Drosophila melanogaster: one gene and its partners. The protein of the gene in region 2 interacts with the protein of the main gene of each other region in a pairwise test. Each region holds a gene or a part of one and is shown on either strand. Other genes may lie near its edges. The genes, in order: Xrcc2, Pif1A, Nup62 and Vdup1.

Evidence for each region.
Region 1: the proteins of Pif1A (region 2) and Xrcc2 interact in a two-hybrid assay, tested with the Drosophila melanogaster proteins (one large-scale study listed by BioGRID).
Region 3: the proteins of Pif1A (region 2) and Nup62 interact in a two-hybrid assay, tested with the Drosophila melanogaster proteins (one large-scale study listed by BioGRID).
Region 4: the proteins of Pif1A (region 2) and Vdup1 interact in a two-hybrid assay, tested with the Drosophila melanogaster proteins (one large-scale study listed by BioGRID).

What each region holds. Positions count from the first base shown.
Region 1 is NC_004354.4:18,498,506-18,501,761, reverse strand, and holds Xrcc2 (X-ray repair cross complementing 2), read right to left. Parts: upstream 1,636-3,256; 5' UTR 1,581-1,635; coding exon 828-1,580; 3' UTR 504-827; downstream 1-503. Other genes in the region: Pgant7 (polypeptide N-Acetylgalactosaminyltransferase 7), read left to right, coding at 2,326-2,530.
Region 2 is NT_033777.3:8,798,065-8,803,127, forward strand, and holds the start of Pif1A (PFTAIRE-interacting factor 1A), read right to left. Parts: upstream 3,113-5,063; 5' UTR 2,811-3,112; intron 2,716-2,810; 5' UTR 2,630-2,715; intron 1,881-2,629; exon of another isoform or gene 1,398-1,880; intron 1-1,397. Other genes in the region: CCT7 (chaperonin containing TCP1 subunit 7), read left to right, coding at 3,614-3,616, 3,795-4,055, 4,122-4,941, 5,015-5,063.
Region 3 is NT_033778.4:16,342,508-16,346,444, forward strand, and holds Nup62 (nucleoporin 62kD), read left to right. Parts: upstream 1-1,869; 5' UTR 1,870-2,073; coding exon 2,074-3,258; 3' UTR 3,259-3,321; downstream 3,322-3,937. Other genes in the region: CG7997 (uncharacterized protein), read right to left, coding at 1-147, 216-263, 499-528, 588-679; wcd (wicked), read right to left, coding at 3,368-3,937. UniProt on the Drosophila melanogaster protein: Essential component of the nuclear pore complex. The N-terminal is probably involved in nucleocytoplasmic transport.
Region 4 is NT_037436.4:175,886-180,741, forward strand, and holds Vdup1 (vitamin D[[3]] up-regulated protein 1), read right to left. Parts: upstream 3,079-4,856; 5' UTR 2,948-3,078; intron 2,751-2,947; exon of another isoform or gene 2,612-2,750; intron 2,421-2,611; exon of another isoform or gene 1,989-2,420; 5' UTR 1,953-1,988; coding exon 1,497-1,952; intron 1,444-1,496; coding exon 1,261-1,443; intron 1,195-1,260; coding exon 805-1,194; 3' UTR 617-804; downstream 1-616. Other genes in the region: CG7049 (uncharacterized protein), read right to left, coding at 1-318.

The DNA of each region.
Region 1 (3,256 bases), on a different chromosome or scaffold from region 2:
ATTTATTGAAATTACATTTAAATTAATGATTGTATTTAATAATAATTTTTACTAATTTACCGGCTTTTAAGCACTACCAAAATCAATCGGCGGATAACATTAAAAAGCCCCCCCCCCCCCCCTCCTCTCCATTTTAATTGCCATTACCATACACCATCATATTGCTTCTTCTTAAAATGCTAAGAAAACGATAAAAAAGGAAAACGAAAACGAAAAAAAAAACTGCTAAACAAAACCACCTTACTTATGTATAGCTTTTAGAAATCATTAGTTTTAAGTATAATTCTGGTAGGGTTGGCCTTCTTCAAAAACAAAAAAAGAACATAGTGAAGGTTTCAACACAATTTTAAAGAACTGTTGTATTTTTTTTAATTAAGATAATATTACTGATATATAATATTAAATATATTACTGAATGGAATAAGTCATAAAAGCGAACTTTCCTTCTAGATCTATATGGACTATAATTTTCTTTGTTCGAGCGGGTAAAACTAGGAAGATATCACGGAAATTAAAGTATATTTGAGTTCGTAACTATCTAGATAATGTAGAAGTTATACCTTTTTTTTAACTTAATTAGTTGCACAGATTACTTTCTCACTCATAGGCCTTGAAATTGTCTAATAAAGGAGTAATAACAAATATAATTTCTAATCCCTAAAAGGAAGATATTATTAAAGTTAAATTGTTAAACTATATACAATTTTCTTAACCTATCAACTCTATATACAATTTAATCAACTCTATATACTCTATATACAATCGTTTACTTCTTTCAGTTCCTAGCATCATTTTGTCCTAAGATTAATAATAATAATTTAACTATGTTAACTGGGCTGAGTCAGCAATGCCTCAGTAATTTCCTTGCTAGTATTTGTATCCAAATGAATTCCATTGCTAAACGACAGCGGCAGTCCATTCAAGAGGATCTGGTTTTGAATCTTCTGCATCCTGACATGGTACTTTATGCCAGCCTCGGGCAAGTTTTCGCCAAAACGATTCTCCAGAAAGGCAGACTCCACCGTGTACATGCCGCAGACGATGGCATCCTTGCAGAGCTTCTCCAGGCGCGCCTGGAGCAATCGATAGTGGCGATACATGGACATTCTCTTGGCAATCTTAGGCTCATCTAGCCAGTAGAATTCGCTGAGTGTGTCCATGGCAACCAATTGTATGCCAGGATCATTGATGATCGCGTAGCGGGCGTCGATTAGCGACGTGGAAACATCATCGTTTGCAAAACAGTTGAGGAATCGCACGCGACTCATGCACTCGCCCGCAATCTCGGCCAGCTGCTCCTCCGTGGGGCATTTCGCAGCAATCACTTCGCCGACAGAGTACGCCTTCAGCTCCATCCTAATGCTCTTGGCCAGAGATTCACGGTTGATCTTGTGACTCAGATTGATCAGCAGGACGCTCCACTGGCGACCACCGAATTTGTAGGGCACCAGGCAGTGGGCCACCAACTGTTGGAGCACCAGGCTTTTGCCACTGTTCCCTGGGCCGGAGATCTCCACCAGCGTATCGGCTTCAAAGCCGCAGGAGCCAAAAACGGCAAAGTGGAGTTGATGTGAGCCCATTAGGTTAAATTTACAAATTTGCGCCCTGGCATAAACAAAGGAGTTATCGATTGTGGCCTTTATCGATGACAGCCACCTAAAGTTGAATTGCGCAGCGCTGAAACATATTTAACACTAAATGGAACTAGGGCATATCGAATAGTTAAACAACAGCAGCAAGCGTTTCGTTATAACTTTCAGTTAGCATTTAGACTTATTTGCGCACATACATAAAAAAAATCCATTTTCACCACCCTGTGTTATCGCCCAGCCGCCTATCGCTGCTGGTGCCTAATTTAGCCCTAACGCCTGGGCGATGATAGAAAAAACGGCATAACGCGTTCTTACCAGTTGAACATCGTTTTCTACCATTTTTTGTTTACGTTTGCACCGCGAATATTCGTGCACCTGCACTCGCAATTTGCTCAAAGCCAGCGGCGCTTTTTCGCCGGCAAGTTGCTCCGCACCGAGTTAAAGCATCACTCAGGCGGACGAGCTGGTGTACTCCAGTTAGCTTCTCGCCCCAGCACTTGTAATTGTCATTATCGGCGGGGCGCCTTTGATCATTCAGCGGCATCTCGAATCCGAACCAAAAGTGGTTCTTTTGTTCTCTTTCTGCTTTGTGGCCACCTTTCCGCGCTCCCCGCTTACCGCTTCCCGTCTCCCGCGCCGTGCTTTTTCTTTCTGGCCACCTAGACACGTCAACAGATTTGGAACTTTGTAACTGGAATCTGGAACTGGGCATCGGAATCGGAATTAGGGAGAGATGCGCGTGAGCACCATCCGCAGCGGTCGGATCTGCCGGCTGGCATTGTGCCTGCTGGTACTGCTGCCGCTGCTGTATCTGCTGGCCAACTGGAGCGATCACCACAAGCGCGTCCAGGAGGCGTATCACACGCGCTTCGGCGGACCCAAGTTCGCCCACCAGCGATTGGAGGGCAGGCCCAGGGAGGTGCCCAAGCTGGTCGATGGTAAGTGGCTACAGGATCGAGGATAGCAATATCAGCCCTTGACCAGGATAAAGAATAGGATTGTGTCACCCATAACGTGAGCCTTGCCATTAAGATTCCTCACTCACGTATTATACAATTTTATTATGGAGGACTATCATCAGAACTAAGGATACAGAGTAGTTACCATATCATTGTTGAAAAGACCGAGTTGTTTGCTTACTGCAAACCCAGCTAAAGAATTCAGTAATCTTTGCTTTATATCACTTAAAACCGGCTTTTGCTCGTTTTAACCAATTAATTACTTGCCATGTATGCTACATAGTATTCAAAGAAGTCTTTATTACCACGTTTAGCGTGAGTAAAGTATGGTTGGAGGTTAAAGGATAACCTTTTCCAACCCATATCGTACAGTCTATTCCCAGTCTAACTTACGAGCCCATTTCAAATATTTATCGCATTCTATTATACATTCTCCAAAACCGGCTTTGTAATGGCCCTAACCAACCAACTATCAAATTCGGATAGAGTGAGAAAATAACCTCATAAAAGTCATTTTTACTGCACAGCCACCAAAACTAGTGTGTCTTTAGTCTTTTGTATCAAATGCTAATTCTAGTCGTAGAATATTCCATATGACCATAAGATGGTTAGATGATGGCATATTATTGGTCTGTAATACCCCGCCTTTATGCATAAGTCTGAAATTATAACCCACACCTCCTGCAAGCGCATACAGTGAGTGGC
Region 2 (5,063 bases):
AAATAAAGTATACAATAATGTGGCTTTAATAATGCTTTAAGCATATACAATAAAAGCCCTACTCTTATCTACTTATTACAAATTATGCCTTGAAAAATTACACAGTATACAGAATTCCGAGTCTTTGCCCGCATGGAGGTTGTTTCTTCAGAATCGCAAAGATTCCCCTTTGTCTGTCAGCATTTCAATGGCTTCTGTTTAGCCGTAGACTCTTCAACGCTTTTCTTCACTGGGTTGAACTAATCAACAAGTTTCCCCCATTATTGATTTCAGCGGAAAAGCTTTTTCCTTCATTTCGCCACATCGGGTCGGGCCACACATATGAATGAAAAACGAAACATATAGGCACCCTGGGACTGGGAAATAGTTTACAACGCCAATTGCGTTGGGCTTACCAAATAAACTGGTCCGGAATGACTTTTCTTAATGACGTCATGTGGCGCGCCTTTTGGAATAGAACAGAATATGTACGTACATTCATATGTACATGTGTTTTTTTTGTTTTGTGAGGTTCCCCACTGGGGCGCTTTACACGCAATAAAACCGCTTTTCATTACTTTTTTTGTTCTACAGAAACAGAATTCTTTGCACTGCTCCCACATCCGCCCCAAAGATTATAACAAAGCATCTATATATATACTGTATGAGGTGCACACACGAGTAGGCCCACAGTTCATATGTTCATAGAATGCTCTCCGAGATTTCTGGCCGATCATCTTTATCAAGGCCACGATCTATATACACATGTAGAGCGACAGATTTGTGTACTTAGCAACCTTCTGGCGCCTAATTGGAATTTGATTTGTTTTTCCAGCTCGATACACTAGGTGTTAATAGGGAGGGATCTTAAGTGAGTGGTGCCCAAGTTTATTACTTTCTGGTTATCAACATAAATTATAAGTAATTATTAGTAAACTTTATGATATTGACTCTTGGACGTATTTCAAAACCGAACTGTTAGTGGAAAAACTACCCTAAAAGAGGTGTTCGTTCCAAATGTATGTAATATTTATTTTGTGGCTTTTCTATAAACTGAAGGACTGGGGCTAATGATGGCTCTCATGTTGCATTTCATTTAATTAAATTTAAAACCGCCCCCAGTCCACTCGATAATAAAGTGTTTTTGGGGTCGACATACACGCCATGGTGACATCACAGCCTCGGTGTGACCGGCTTGGTTGGGATTGGTTTTATACGAGCAAAGCCACCCACTCGATTGCCATCCACATCCACAGCCATCCACATGGGCAGATGAAAGTCTCTTTTTTGCTCTTTAAGTATGTATATTTTCAGTCATATATCAATTTGAAAATATTGCCAAACGATGAGTCGGTCAGCCGTCGAGTGTACAGTCTGCGGCTCTTTCGGCTGATTCACCGAAGATCACGTATACGCACCATTAGCTCTGAAATCCTTGGGCGTCGTAGACCAACAGTTGGTGTGCCTCAAACTTCTGTATATGTTTATTCACTCACTCACTCACTCACTAAGTCGACCGACGATGTTGTAATGTAAACAGTTTATTTACTGCCTGCTTGCCACTGTTTCTTGCAGTGTAATGACGTCAATACGTTAATTTTCAATCAACTTTTTTCGCGCACAGACCAAGTAGAATATCGTCGGTATGTGGAGCACTTCTTCGACAATTGTTAAGCAAAGTATGATATATTTTTGTTCAAATATATTCACACAGTTCGTACAGGAAGTTCGAAATTATATCAATTAAGTTACACAAGTTCGTCGGAATAGAAGTGAGTTATGTTCGGTTCGTTTGGGGAGTATCCTAATTAGTTGCAATCAATTTGAATTGTAAATTAAAAGAAGTGTTCTATACTAGGTAAATTTCGTTGCTCGGCGATAGCAGAGATCTTTCGTTTCGGCCGGACACCGATTGACTAACTCGGCCTCTCGAGCTTTCGCAAGCTCTTTCACATTTGCCTCCATTTCCATTTAATTAAAAGGAGCTTTGCCATTTATTCATGCACTTCTTGGGGTTATGGGGTGGCAAAGCTCGGGTCTGTGTGCGTGCCCCGAAGAATGGCCGACGTGAAGCCGGAAGAGCCCATCTATTGAAAGCCGAAGATGTTTTCCTCCCGGTTCCCGACTTCATAACAAAAAAAAACCAGTCGCGTGTTTATTAATAACCAAAATATGCACACAACCCGCCACGAAATTGGTCAAAATAACAAACAGTGAAATAAAAGATATCGGAACTTCAGGTTGATTGGATATTAATTCGGTATAAGTTTGATAAAGTAATGATAAAATTCAGTTAAATTGTTATATCTGTGTAAACATTGTTATAAGTACTTCCGCATGATTAAGGCGCGTTGCTCAAACATATATCAGCACAAAGCATTTGTGCTAGTTTAAGTTTAAGAGCAATCTGAAGACGTGACATTAAAGCTGTTGAAACGTGCATCTATTATTATATGTTTAGACCAGAAGTAAATAAATTTGGTAATAAACATACTTGCAAAACATTTAAGTTGCTCAACTTTTTTATAGTCTTTTTATGGCAATTAAAATTTCATACTTTTAATTTCGATTTAAATGCCAAACGTATTGCGTATGAATATCTTTATGTCTATAATCCCCAACAGCTGAAGAATCTTCACAAATCACATACAAATTTGACAATCGCCTTAACGACGCGATGAATGATGGACACAATTAGAACACATTCCGATTCCAGTCAGTCAACACAGGGGAAATCTAAATAAAAGCACAAAAGGGGAACAAACTTTGCACTTTGATTTGAGTGCCTTATCGTGTGGGAGCCCCACTTCACTTTTCTTTTTCTTACTCACTATTTGCATTTTTCATAGTCGGTTCAGCATCCTGATTTGTTTCATAATCACTCGGCAATTGTCTAGTATCCGGTTAGTATCCATTGGCATCCCTTGTGGTTCGATGTCGTCGTTAAGAGGAGTCTTGGGCAACTAAAATTCCAATTCCACATGACCGAATTAGATTTAGAATGCTTTCTTTCATTTAAACCTATTTGCGGTTGAATGTTCTGGCGTTTTGGCCTTTCAAATGACTCTTCTATTTTTCATTTAATTGCTGCTCGGTGCACAACTCACTCAAGTTGAGCGGTAGGAACAAACTGAAGATGCGGCGCACTTTCTAAAATGGAATAAGCGACATGCGTGCGTGCATCGCCAAATTTATATAAATAGAAGGAATCACAAATCTATATTTGAAGTTGGGAGCAATTTCAAAAAACCGCTCGCCGGTCAAGAGTGACGTCATGGAGCCATCGATAACTTTTTCGATAACAACTACCAGCTGCATATCATATTAGTTTAAAATGTTCATCAAAAAGTGTGGAAACTAGCTTTGTACCATAAAGTTAAAAAATCGCAAGATAGAAATAAATAGATAGTTTTTTATGAGTTAGGATTTCAAATTTCATTGTAAAGTGCGACTAAGTCCCCAAACGTTCACACTGGCTGCAAGCATCGATTAAATACAAAATAACAACGATTAATCGATTGGCCCATTACTCATCGCGGAAAACGTGAACGAAAAGCAAGTTGCCGCCTGTCTGCTAGGAACTTTATTGTTTTAAACTGTAATACGTGCTAAAGGCCAACCCCATCACATAAATATGGTAAGTCCGGCTGGAAATAATCCGAGGCTAACCAAGTGAATCCCAATCATGGACTCGTCCGCGAGCGGCATGAGATTGTAAACATAACCTGCAAAGAAGCTTCTCGCAAGCCGACGACATCTGCTGACTAATTGGAGACTTTTACTATATATTCGCCTTATATCCGTATGATCCGCAGCAACCGCAAATCGTGCTCCTCAAAGAAGGCACTGACTCGTCGCAGGGCAAGCCGCAACTGGTGTCCAACATCAATGCCTGCCAGTCGATCGTGGACGCAGTGCGGACCACTCTGGGTCCCCGCGGCATGGACAAGCTGATTGTGGATGCCCACGGCAAGGCGACGATTTCCAACGATGGAGCCACCATCATGAAGCTGCTGGAGATCATCCACCCGGCGGCCAAGACCCTGGTGGACATTGCCAAGTCACAAGACGCCGAGGTAAGTGATTGGCACCCCTGAGACGCACGTGACACTGCTAAAGCTTTGATTCGACTTCTCCTTCAGGTGGGTGACGGCACCACGTCCGTGGTTCTGCTGGCCGGCGAGTTCCTTAAGCAGGTGAAACCCTTCGTGGAGGAGGGAGTGCACCCACGAGTCATCATTAAGGCCATCCGCAAGGCCCTGCAGCTCTGCATGGAAAAGATCAACGAAATGGCCGTCCAAATTGTCGAACAGTCCAAGGACCAGCAGCGTGCTCTCCTTGAGAAGTGCGCAGCCACTGCCATGTCCTCCAAGTTGATTCACCAGCAGAAGGACTTCTTCTCCCGCATTGTAGTCGATGCTGTGCTCTCCCTGGATGAGCTGCTGCCCCTCAACATGATTGGAATTAAGAAGGTGACCGGTGGCTCGCTGGAGGAGTCACAGCTAGTGTCGGGTGTGGCCTTCAAGAAGACCTTTTCCTATGCCGGCTTTGAAATGGCCCCCAAATCCTATGACAACTGCAAAATTGCCCTGCTCAACATCGAATTGGAGCTTAAGGCTGAGCGCGATAACGCCGAGATCCGCGTAGACAACGTCAAGGAGTACCAAAAGGTGGTCGACGCCGAGTGGCAGATCCTCTACAACAAGCTGGCTAAGATCCACGAGTCCGGCGCCAATGTTGTCCTCTCCAAGCTGCCCATCGGTGATGTGGCCACACAGTATTTCGCCGACCGCGACATATTCTGCGCCGGCCGCGTTCCCGAAGAAGATCTTAAGCGCACCATGAAGGCTTGCGGTGGAGCCGTAATGACGACGGCCAACGACATTAAGCCCAATGTACTCGGCCTGTGCGAACATTTCGAGGAGCGCCAAGTGGGCGGCGAACGTTTCAACCTCTTCCAAGGTAAGAATCTTATTCGTATACTTAATTGAAGGACTCGTTTTAACAACCACTTGTTATTTTCCATTTTAAATAGGCTGCCCCAATGCCAAGACGAGCACCCTTATTCTGCGTGGCGGTGCCGA
Region 3 (3,937 bases), on a different chromosome or scaffold from region 2:
AAGCGCTTTCTGTCCGGAACCAGCTTCTGGGTATCGTTGTCGCGATTCTTCTCCAGCCAGCAGTCATCTATGATGACGTACTCGTAGCCAGCATCCGCATATCCTTCAGAAACCAGGAGATCCGCATGTCTTTGGAAAAGTTTTTCACTGAAACAGGTGAAATGAACAAGAAGTAAAGGAACATTTGAGGATCTGAGTTGGGTTTGGGTATTAACCTGATGCACTCATCCGGATACAGTTTACAGTCGGTGATGCAACGGAATCTGTAAGTAAGACATGGGTAATCAAAAATTCAGAGAATCTTTAAATAGACTATAGTTATATCAGTAGTGTTAGTTATATCAGCAATGAAATAAACAAAAGCGTTATTGCAGCGTAGCGTGTAGAGTTCATGCCAAGGCCTAATTTTTACTAACTATTAAAGTTTATTTATTTTAAATGTTAGACGTAATGATAATTCTTTATGATCTAATCTAGTTGCTGGTAAATATTTCTTACCGCTCCCAGGACATCCAGCCCATAGGTGGCCTAAAATCGACAGAATTTCAATTAAGTGGCCTAGAATCCAATCAAAATTTAATACTCACTTTAGTGCCAGGCCATTATCGAGGCCCATGGATAATTGCAGAACCTGCAGCAGAAGAATCCCGCCCAGAAAGACGCCCCACGTTCCGTACATGGCGAGCTAGTGGCACCGACTGAATCCTGGCCTTTGGGCACCCAGGGAATTTATATTCTCCAGCGGGCGGCACTCCAGATAACTCTGTTTGGCAGGGGCACCTGAGGAGCTGGAGGTAGGGGAATGGCACCTGAAGAGCTGACAGAAGGTTAGTGGCTAATTGCTATTGCAGCGGAGTACTCCCATCGACTGATTGGTGTTCGCCGGGTGGCGCAAACAGCGGGCTTTCTCGATTGCAGGAGGAGCCGGAGCCCCTTATCACGCCAAGTTCACAGCGATCACAGGGAGCAAATAGAGAAAATCGAGGAGAGACCGAGAACAGGGGCTTTTGATTCTGATATGCTTTTGTTGTTCAATTCTGGCGCTGCTTGCCAGCTACACTGGTCAACAAAGTTGGGGAAATAGTTGGAAGCATAGTAGACTAGAGCACGGTACTAGTGATGGGAAAACATGTACTAACAAAACATAGGAACTATGGTCTTTTATTAGAAAATTTTGATCTGGTTTTTAAGAATAATTTAAAATTTCTGTTTTTGAGGATCAGATCTCAGATCTTATGAAAATCTTAAAAAGAATCTTATTACAAAAAAAAAAAAAACCGAAGGTCAAAGACAAGCTCTAATTGTTGTACCGCATTACGTTTGTACCTTAGGTAATTTTTCTAATTTTGTGGCTGGCAGCTCTGAAGAGAACCTACACAGGTACGCAGAACGAACCTTCTGATAGGAAGCACACATGTGTTTAGCTGATTTAGCAAAATGCAATTACTGAACTGAGTGCCGCTGCACTTTGGGCTTGTAATTGAATTCTTTTGACCCAAATGTTACCTTATCGCCTTTGCACTTACAGATAGCAAAAGATGACTAATTAAAGCCGGTGTTTTGTTATTGATTTTGTTTGTACGATTGACTACGTTTTCTTTCTGAGTTGGTTTTTTTATTTAAGTTGCGCGGAATGATTTGTTCCATGTACGACTAAAACTGGAGCTAAAACATAGCTCTCGACCAGTGTTGTTTGTCGATTTCGCAAGTTAGTTGATCGCTGGTTAAAAAAACGGACACAGACATAAATATATTTTAAAAGTGCAAAAAGTGATTGCAAACGTTAAAATAATATAAATGTTTTGGTTTTCAGCATGTTTTAGTAACAAAAATGTATCGTCGACTGAGCAAAGTACTTCATTTGTATTGCCAATTCAAAGAAATTTAAAATTTAATTTTGCCGCCCAATCTTCAAACTGCTAAGTGTTTTGGCTTGAAAATAGCTAGCTTGAGCTCAAATTTAGTTGATTTCCAACACCGACAACATTGCGGAACTCCAAGGAGGGGTCACACTGGTTGCTTTTGGCGTGTTTCGTTTGATTTAGATTTATATTATTCGTCTTAAGTTTAAGCATGGTATTCCAGTTGCCAACAACAACCGCCGCCCCGACCGGAGGCGCAACATCGTCGTTTTCCTTCGGCCTCAGCACAGGAACACCAGCCGCAGCACCAGCTTCAGGAGCAGCAACCACGGCTCCCGCCACAAAAACCACATTCTCTTTCGGAACACCGGCACCTACTGCTGGTATCGGTGGCGGAGATGCAGACAACAGCAAGGCGCAGGCTCCACCAGCCTTTGGATTTGGCCTGGGATCCGGGACTGCTTCAGCTCCCCTCACGCTGGGCACTCAAGCCGCCGCAAATCCAGCGTCCACCACTTCTGCGACCGCGACTGGAACCTCTGCTGCTCCTCCCGCCTTCGGAGGCTTTACGGCTCAACCAGCGGCATCTGTGGTGCCAACTATAGCAACCAGTGCACCCAACACCGCAGCTACCACAACTGGATTGCTGGGCGGGTCTGGATTGGGAGCTCCCAAGACCACGGCCGCTGCGTCCACAACTCTGACTGCAGCTCCGTCGGCCATAGCCTCCACGCAGGGAGCTGCACCGGCCCCAACTTTAAGTACTGGTGGTGCTTTTGCCAATCTCACTACCGAAACCAAGACCACAGACTCATCGGCCGTTTCCACGGCATCCCAATTGTCCTACCACCAACTTGAGGAGCATATCAACAAGTGGACTCTCGAGTTCGAGGAACAGGAAAAGGTATTCACCGAACAGGCCACTCAGATCAACGCATGGGACAAACTGCTCATCAGCAACAACGGGAAGATCGTCGAGCTCAACGATGCCGTGAAAAAAGTGAAAACCGATCAGCAAGTGCTGGACCAGGAGCTGGAGTTTATAGCCACGCAGCAAAAAGAGCTTGAGGACAGCCTGGGACCGCTTGAGAAGGAATTCGTTAATCTCCCGAGGGTGGACATGGAACGCAGCCAAACCTACCTGATGGTGGAGAATCTGGACACACAACTGAAGCAGATGTCCGAGGATCTAAAGGAGATAATAGACAACTTGAACGAGGCCAACAAGGGCCAGGACACCACTGATCCCATCATACAGATCGGAAAAATCCTTAATGCCCATATGAATTCGTTGCAGTGGATCGAATCGCAGTCGACGAACATCAGCAAGAAGCTGGAAGACATTGGCAAGATTCAAGACTCCCAGAAACGCGATATTTTCCGAGCTCCTTTCTAAAGATAAGTCCCCTTAATTTGTTAACTTAAATAAAGATGGTTCCATTGTAACCACAGAAAGAGTAATGATTTTATTTAAGAATTTATTGTAAACATCATACTGCCTTCAATTAATAACCCTTGAAGTACTTAAGCCTAAAGAGCGGCACCTGTTTGCCCTTAGTGGCAAAGGCCAGGAAGCTGCTGTGCGGCGAAAAGGCCATGGAGGTCACAAAGCCAACCTTCTCGTTCTGTGCCGGGAAATTGGAGTACACAGTGGCGCTGGGGAAATGGGCCAGCTTAAAAGCATTCGGCGCCTCACTGGAGCACATCGCCAGTAGCTCAGATGAGTGATTGAACTGGAGATCCGTGATGGCAGTCCGTAGGTTCATGAAGCGCTTCTCGGGTTGTGGGGCCTTGGATGCGAAAATGCTCTCGTAGTCGTAGATGTTGACCACGCCCTCTTGACTGCCGGTGGCCAGTAGGCGTTGGTTGGGAGACAGTTGAATGGACTCTCCATGTATACAGCCGTCGTCCATGAAGATGTGCTCGATGAGGTTCTGGCGCAGGTTCAGCACGCTGACATTGGAAGTGGAACCGCAGACGAGGATCCTCTTGGAGTCACTAGACCATGTGAATCCCTTCACTTTGCCCTCCTGCTTGAAGCTGTGCAGCAGCTCATTTGTTTTGGCCGTGAGCAG
Region 4 (4,856 bases), on a different chromosome or scaffold from region 2:
CTCATACTTGTCGATGTAGAAGTCATTCAGCTTCACCTGCCGTTCCGGAGCCTCGCGGTCGGCCGGAAAGTGCGGTTTGTCAGTACCCATGTAAACCGTGCCTCCCGGAAGCAGTGACATGTCCGCAATATTTGGCTCCAGTTCGCCATAGTAATCCCGGTAGTGGCTGTGTGCACCCTGTGCTCGTTGCTGGCACACTTGTCCGGAAATGGACGGCATATCCGGGGCCTTCCGGTCGAGCTTTTGGCAGCCACAGTCGCTGGATACGTCATTGAATAAAACTATCCAAATAAAGAGGACTAATATAATTGTTGTCATCTTAACGTGCAGTGTGGCCCTTTTTAGTTTTGGAATCAATACTTAATTTCGCGAATTTAAATTCCGAACAAGCCAGCTTTTTAATAGCATACTTTAGGCTGTAACGTTTTAAACAATTTATTTCAATTTCAACAACCATACTTTTGGGATTATTATTATTATTATAACCATTTAGTAGTAGTTAGAAGGTTAATGAGTGCAGTTTTACCATTTTAATAATATATAACCTACAATATTTAGGTTTTATAAAAAGTTATGTATATGAGCTAATTATAATTTATCAAAGTCTGGTCTTTATGTTAACTTTCGTTTGTATTTGTTATAAATTCTTCAATCATGAACAAATTTTTGGGAACGGAAGACCTACAAATGCAAAGACCAGAAACATTAAAAAACGTTAAGTATAAGTTAAATAAGTTTAAATTGTTGTATGGCGCAAATCGGTCTTAACAAGTTGTGATACACAGCAATCCTAAAAGCTGCGGGCTATGCCTCGATAGGCTTCTCGTGCAGCCAGGGCCGGAATATGGGTAGTGTGGACGGATAGTGGGTGTGCGTGTCCGGCTTAAGCACCGATTCCGGCCAGGTGTTGGCATTGACCGCATCACCGGAGTGTCGAAAGGGGTACGTCGCAAGCACGATAGGAAGCTGTAGCTTAATCTCCTTCTCCATGGACTTGGGTTCGATCACGAAGAAGACGTCGTAGGATATTTTGATCAGGTGGCAGCCATGAAGATTGGTCGGCGGCAGGGGTGGAACGTAAAGCTCGTTGTGCCACTCGTCTTTGGCCCCCGGACGGATCTTGCCACGAACTAAAACAGCCAGCTCCCGTTTTTCCGTTTGCACCACCTTCCCCCGCGCCAAATACTCGATGGTCTAAATAAAATCCAAATAAGATCAAAATGGATGAATTGTAACTAGCCACTTGAAAGCGATACCGACCTCAGTGAGGGATGCCTTAGTCCGTTTAATGGACACATTACTGTAGTTGGATATAAATGCGGTGACCAGAATATTCTCGCCGGGCACATACCCACCGCGATCAAGGGACACTCTGCACTTTATCTGACCTCCACCAACACAGACGACGCCTAGCTTGTGCTCAACTTCGCAGGTGAACGGTTGCTGAGTCAGGCGAAAGGTTAGTTTTTTTAAACAGGGTTTTTAAAGCTACTTACTGCTAAGATGGGCTTTTCAAGGTTTAGGTCGATGGGATTCATCACAATGAAGACCTGGTGGTTCTTATGGATAATGCCATTGTTCTCGCGGAGCGCCGCCTTGCAGTAGAACTGAATCCAGCCGTACCGACCGAGAAATGTAGATGGAAGACCCAGTGGCAAGCCGAGTTTGAAGGGGAAGCTGTGAATTCCTGGCGAGAGTATAGCTGGACCTCCTTGGTCTACGTCCCCCAGAAGTCGCATCCGAAAGTCGATATAGTTCTCCTTATCGTATGTCCGCTCCTGTCGCCGCCCGTTGCGCACGACCCCTTCGCCTACCACATGGAAATGAAGTCCCAAAGCAGGCGTCTCATCCTGCAATTCGATTAGAACCCGTCCGGAGAGAAACTGGCCCGGGAAGTACAGGAGGGAAGTGTTGTCGAAGATGATAAGGAATTTAAGCAACTTGCGCGGCATCGTGCCTCTGTTTTGTTGCCGATTTCATTCGTACGCCTAAGGAAAAACCAACGAAATTCGTTAGAACACGGTTGCCAAATATTTGACCCGCTCCGCACGCGTCATTATGGTTAATGACAACTTATCCGTCATAGCTGGCTAGGTCTGAGACCATGTACTACGGACTACGGTCTCACATACATACGGCGCTTGTTTGCATATTTATGTGGGTAGCATCTAGGCGGGCAAAGGAAACAAAACCAGTTTCGTACGGCCAAGAGATGGCTGCGTGCACAACTATGCAGCACGAAAGCCCCGAACACTTAAGCATCAACTGCAAGGTCGGCGCATGAAGCATGTCGGGCGTGTCACGCCCGCGCCTACAAATTTGGGCAAAACTCCAGTATGTACATCTTTACCAAAAGCGTAAGCTGCAACTGCGACTGTCGGCAAGCCTGTTTGGTGCACTGGTGACAATGTTGATGATTCCTGATTGGGAAACAGAAACCGAAAAGAAAACTGACGTAATTTCCTAGTGGAAAGCGGATTCCCAACCGTACACTGCCATTGGAATGATTACATTCAAATTGTTCAACATTTTTGTTTTTATCCACAACAGATCAATTGTTTTCTCTTCATCCCTGTGGGCGCACTTGAAATAATGATCGCTTTTCAAATACCTGTACACACAAAGGTGTTTTTTGGCCAGATCGGAACACCAGTCCAAACCGAACCGATTTAACCCGTTCTGCCTTTGAGCGATATTCGTTTGGCAAGATCTCGTCCACGCTCTCGAGCGTTTGTTTGGCAACTGATCACCGTCGTCGTCATCGTCGTCGTCGTTATGCATCAGTTTGCGGACGAGAGCTCGACTGAAAAACTTGTTTTGAGCGCGTTTTTGCGAGGGATCGTTTGAGAGAGGCCCAGCCGGAGCCAGCTGATGTCGTAATGCCAATAAGTAGCCCGCTTTTGTTTTTACTATCTTTTGCATTCATGTAATACATGGCTGAATTTACCTTTCCAGCGGGCTTACAGGATACGCAAAGCGCGTATCTTCTTGAATAAATTCAAACGGAAAAAACTGGAACGGCACCACAGACAACAGAAGACCAAACGAGCATGAGAACCAAATTGTCACCTCAACGGTTAGCTAAGCTGTTCAAACTGAATCGATTATAGGAGCAATTTGCTAATAATATGGCAATGCTCGCAGAGTCGCCCCGCTATAGCTCAGCAGGTGTATCTTGTGTTACTCGGTTGCACCTAGAAAATAAATCTGTATTTCCAACACCAAGCCCATATTTTACAGGTATTTATCCATAGTCGACAAATCGTGTGCAGACTAAAATGGATAAAGTGGCACACATTTATGCATTATGCATGCATTTAATACCGGTTATTTGTTGTTTTAAGGTACCCAAATCGAAGAACCTCAACTGTAGCTCATGAAAATGAAAGGCCAAAAGCCAAGCAAACTATCACTGGCTGCGAAAACCGAATCGGTGAATGGCTCGGCAGCCTGTGGCAAGCTGTGGCAAGCTATGGCTATACCCTGAAAATTAGTCAAAAAATGAGTCCTGTGGCAGATACCTTGAAAACTTTATTAAAAGGAATCTGTAGGTTATCCTTATGATCGACAAAGTATAAGATAATATTAGAAAGAGTAGAGATGCAACGATGGTCAAACTATATATGGACTGAAGAAATCAATCGTTTTGAAGACTATGCTGGCTATAAGAGAAAACAAATCACTTTCGTATTTAACTTTTCCAGCTTTTCATATTTCTTCCAACGGCATTAGTGACATTTAGTAGCAATGGCTAGGCTATAGTTTTCCATTTCAATGTTTCTCGGCTTAATTGCTGGGAGTTGTTGTTTTATAATGACCCAAGTCTTTACCGCGAAGAGAGATTTCAACGAGACTCCAAAGATTTCCCGTTTGTGGCCTCGACGTATAGAGTATCTGAAAATTAGGTTGTTTCGAATAGAGACGTCTATACTAGTTTGGTTCAAAATGATAATCGCTTGAGCTCGAAGTTTCGTGGAGCCCACAACTAAGTATTCTTGAGTTAAAGTCAGTGTGGTTTCAAAGCTGCTCCGCGCACCACCGAACCGATCTCCGAATCTCAGCTCTGTTTATCATTTTTCTGAAAGTCCGGCGCTGAGGAACCTATAGTAAGCCTATCTCCATCTCTTATAATAATAGCGAAAGCCAGACGTGAAGGCAGAGAATATCTTGGTGTAACATCAATCACCAAGGGGGAGTGGCTGGTCCACTCCATAAACTTACCAACGATACCGTAAAGTCTCAAAGAGAAAAACAAGAGGTGTAGCAGAGCTACACCTGCAAAACTTTCTCATGCCCAACTGGCTGGGCGCATTGGCCACTGTTTTCGTTGCTCTTGCCTTGTTTCACCTCTCTGGCACGCTCTCCCTTAAATCGAGCTGCTTCTATGTCCGACTTGGGGCAGTGGCTCAGTTGTGGCGAAGATACCGAGCGCGCTGGTAAGGCACGGTTCGCATCGAAAACTTTAAACTGTCTTCGGTCGGGCCAGTGGAACGCGAGAAAGTTAAAATTGTAACAATAAAGACACTCATAATAGCGCTCCGTGAGTAACTTAGTGTTTACATGAAGAAGGCTGATTCTAGTTCATCACTGGTCCAATCGAAGCGCCATACACAAGTTACCACAGATTTTCATAACTAGCTAATGACCGAAATTGACACGTTCTGACGGCCGCAGCCGATGAGAGGACCTTATTCTAAAGAAGAACTGTTAACTAATTGTCAGCTCTGCTTACAAGCGGTTAGGTTGCATAAATTACACCAAATGGTTTGTTCGCCACGCTTCTTATACCATATCTGTATTAGCATATCTAAGGTTCTCTTTTGGCTAACCCCTTCCTTTGTGATGCCTCCATAGAG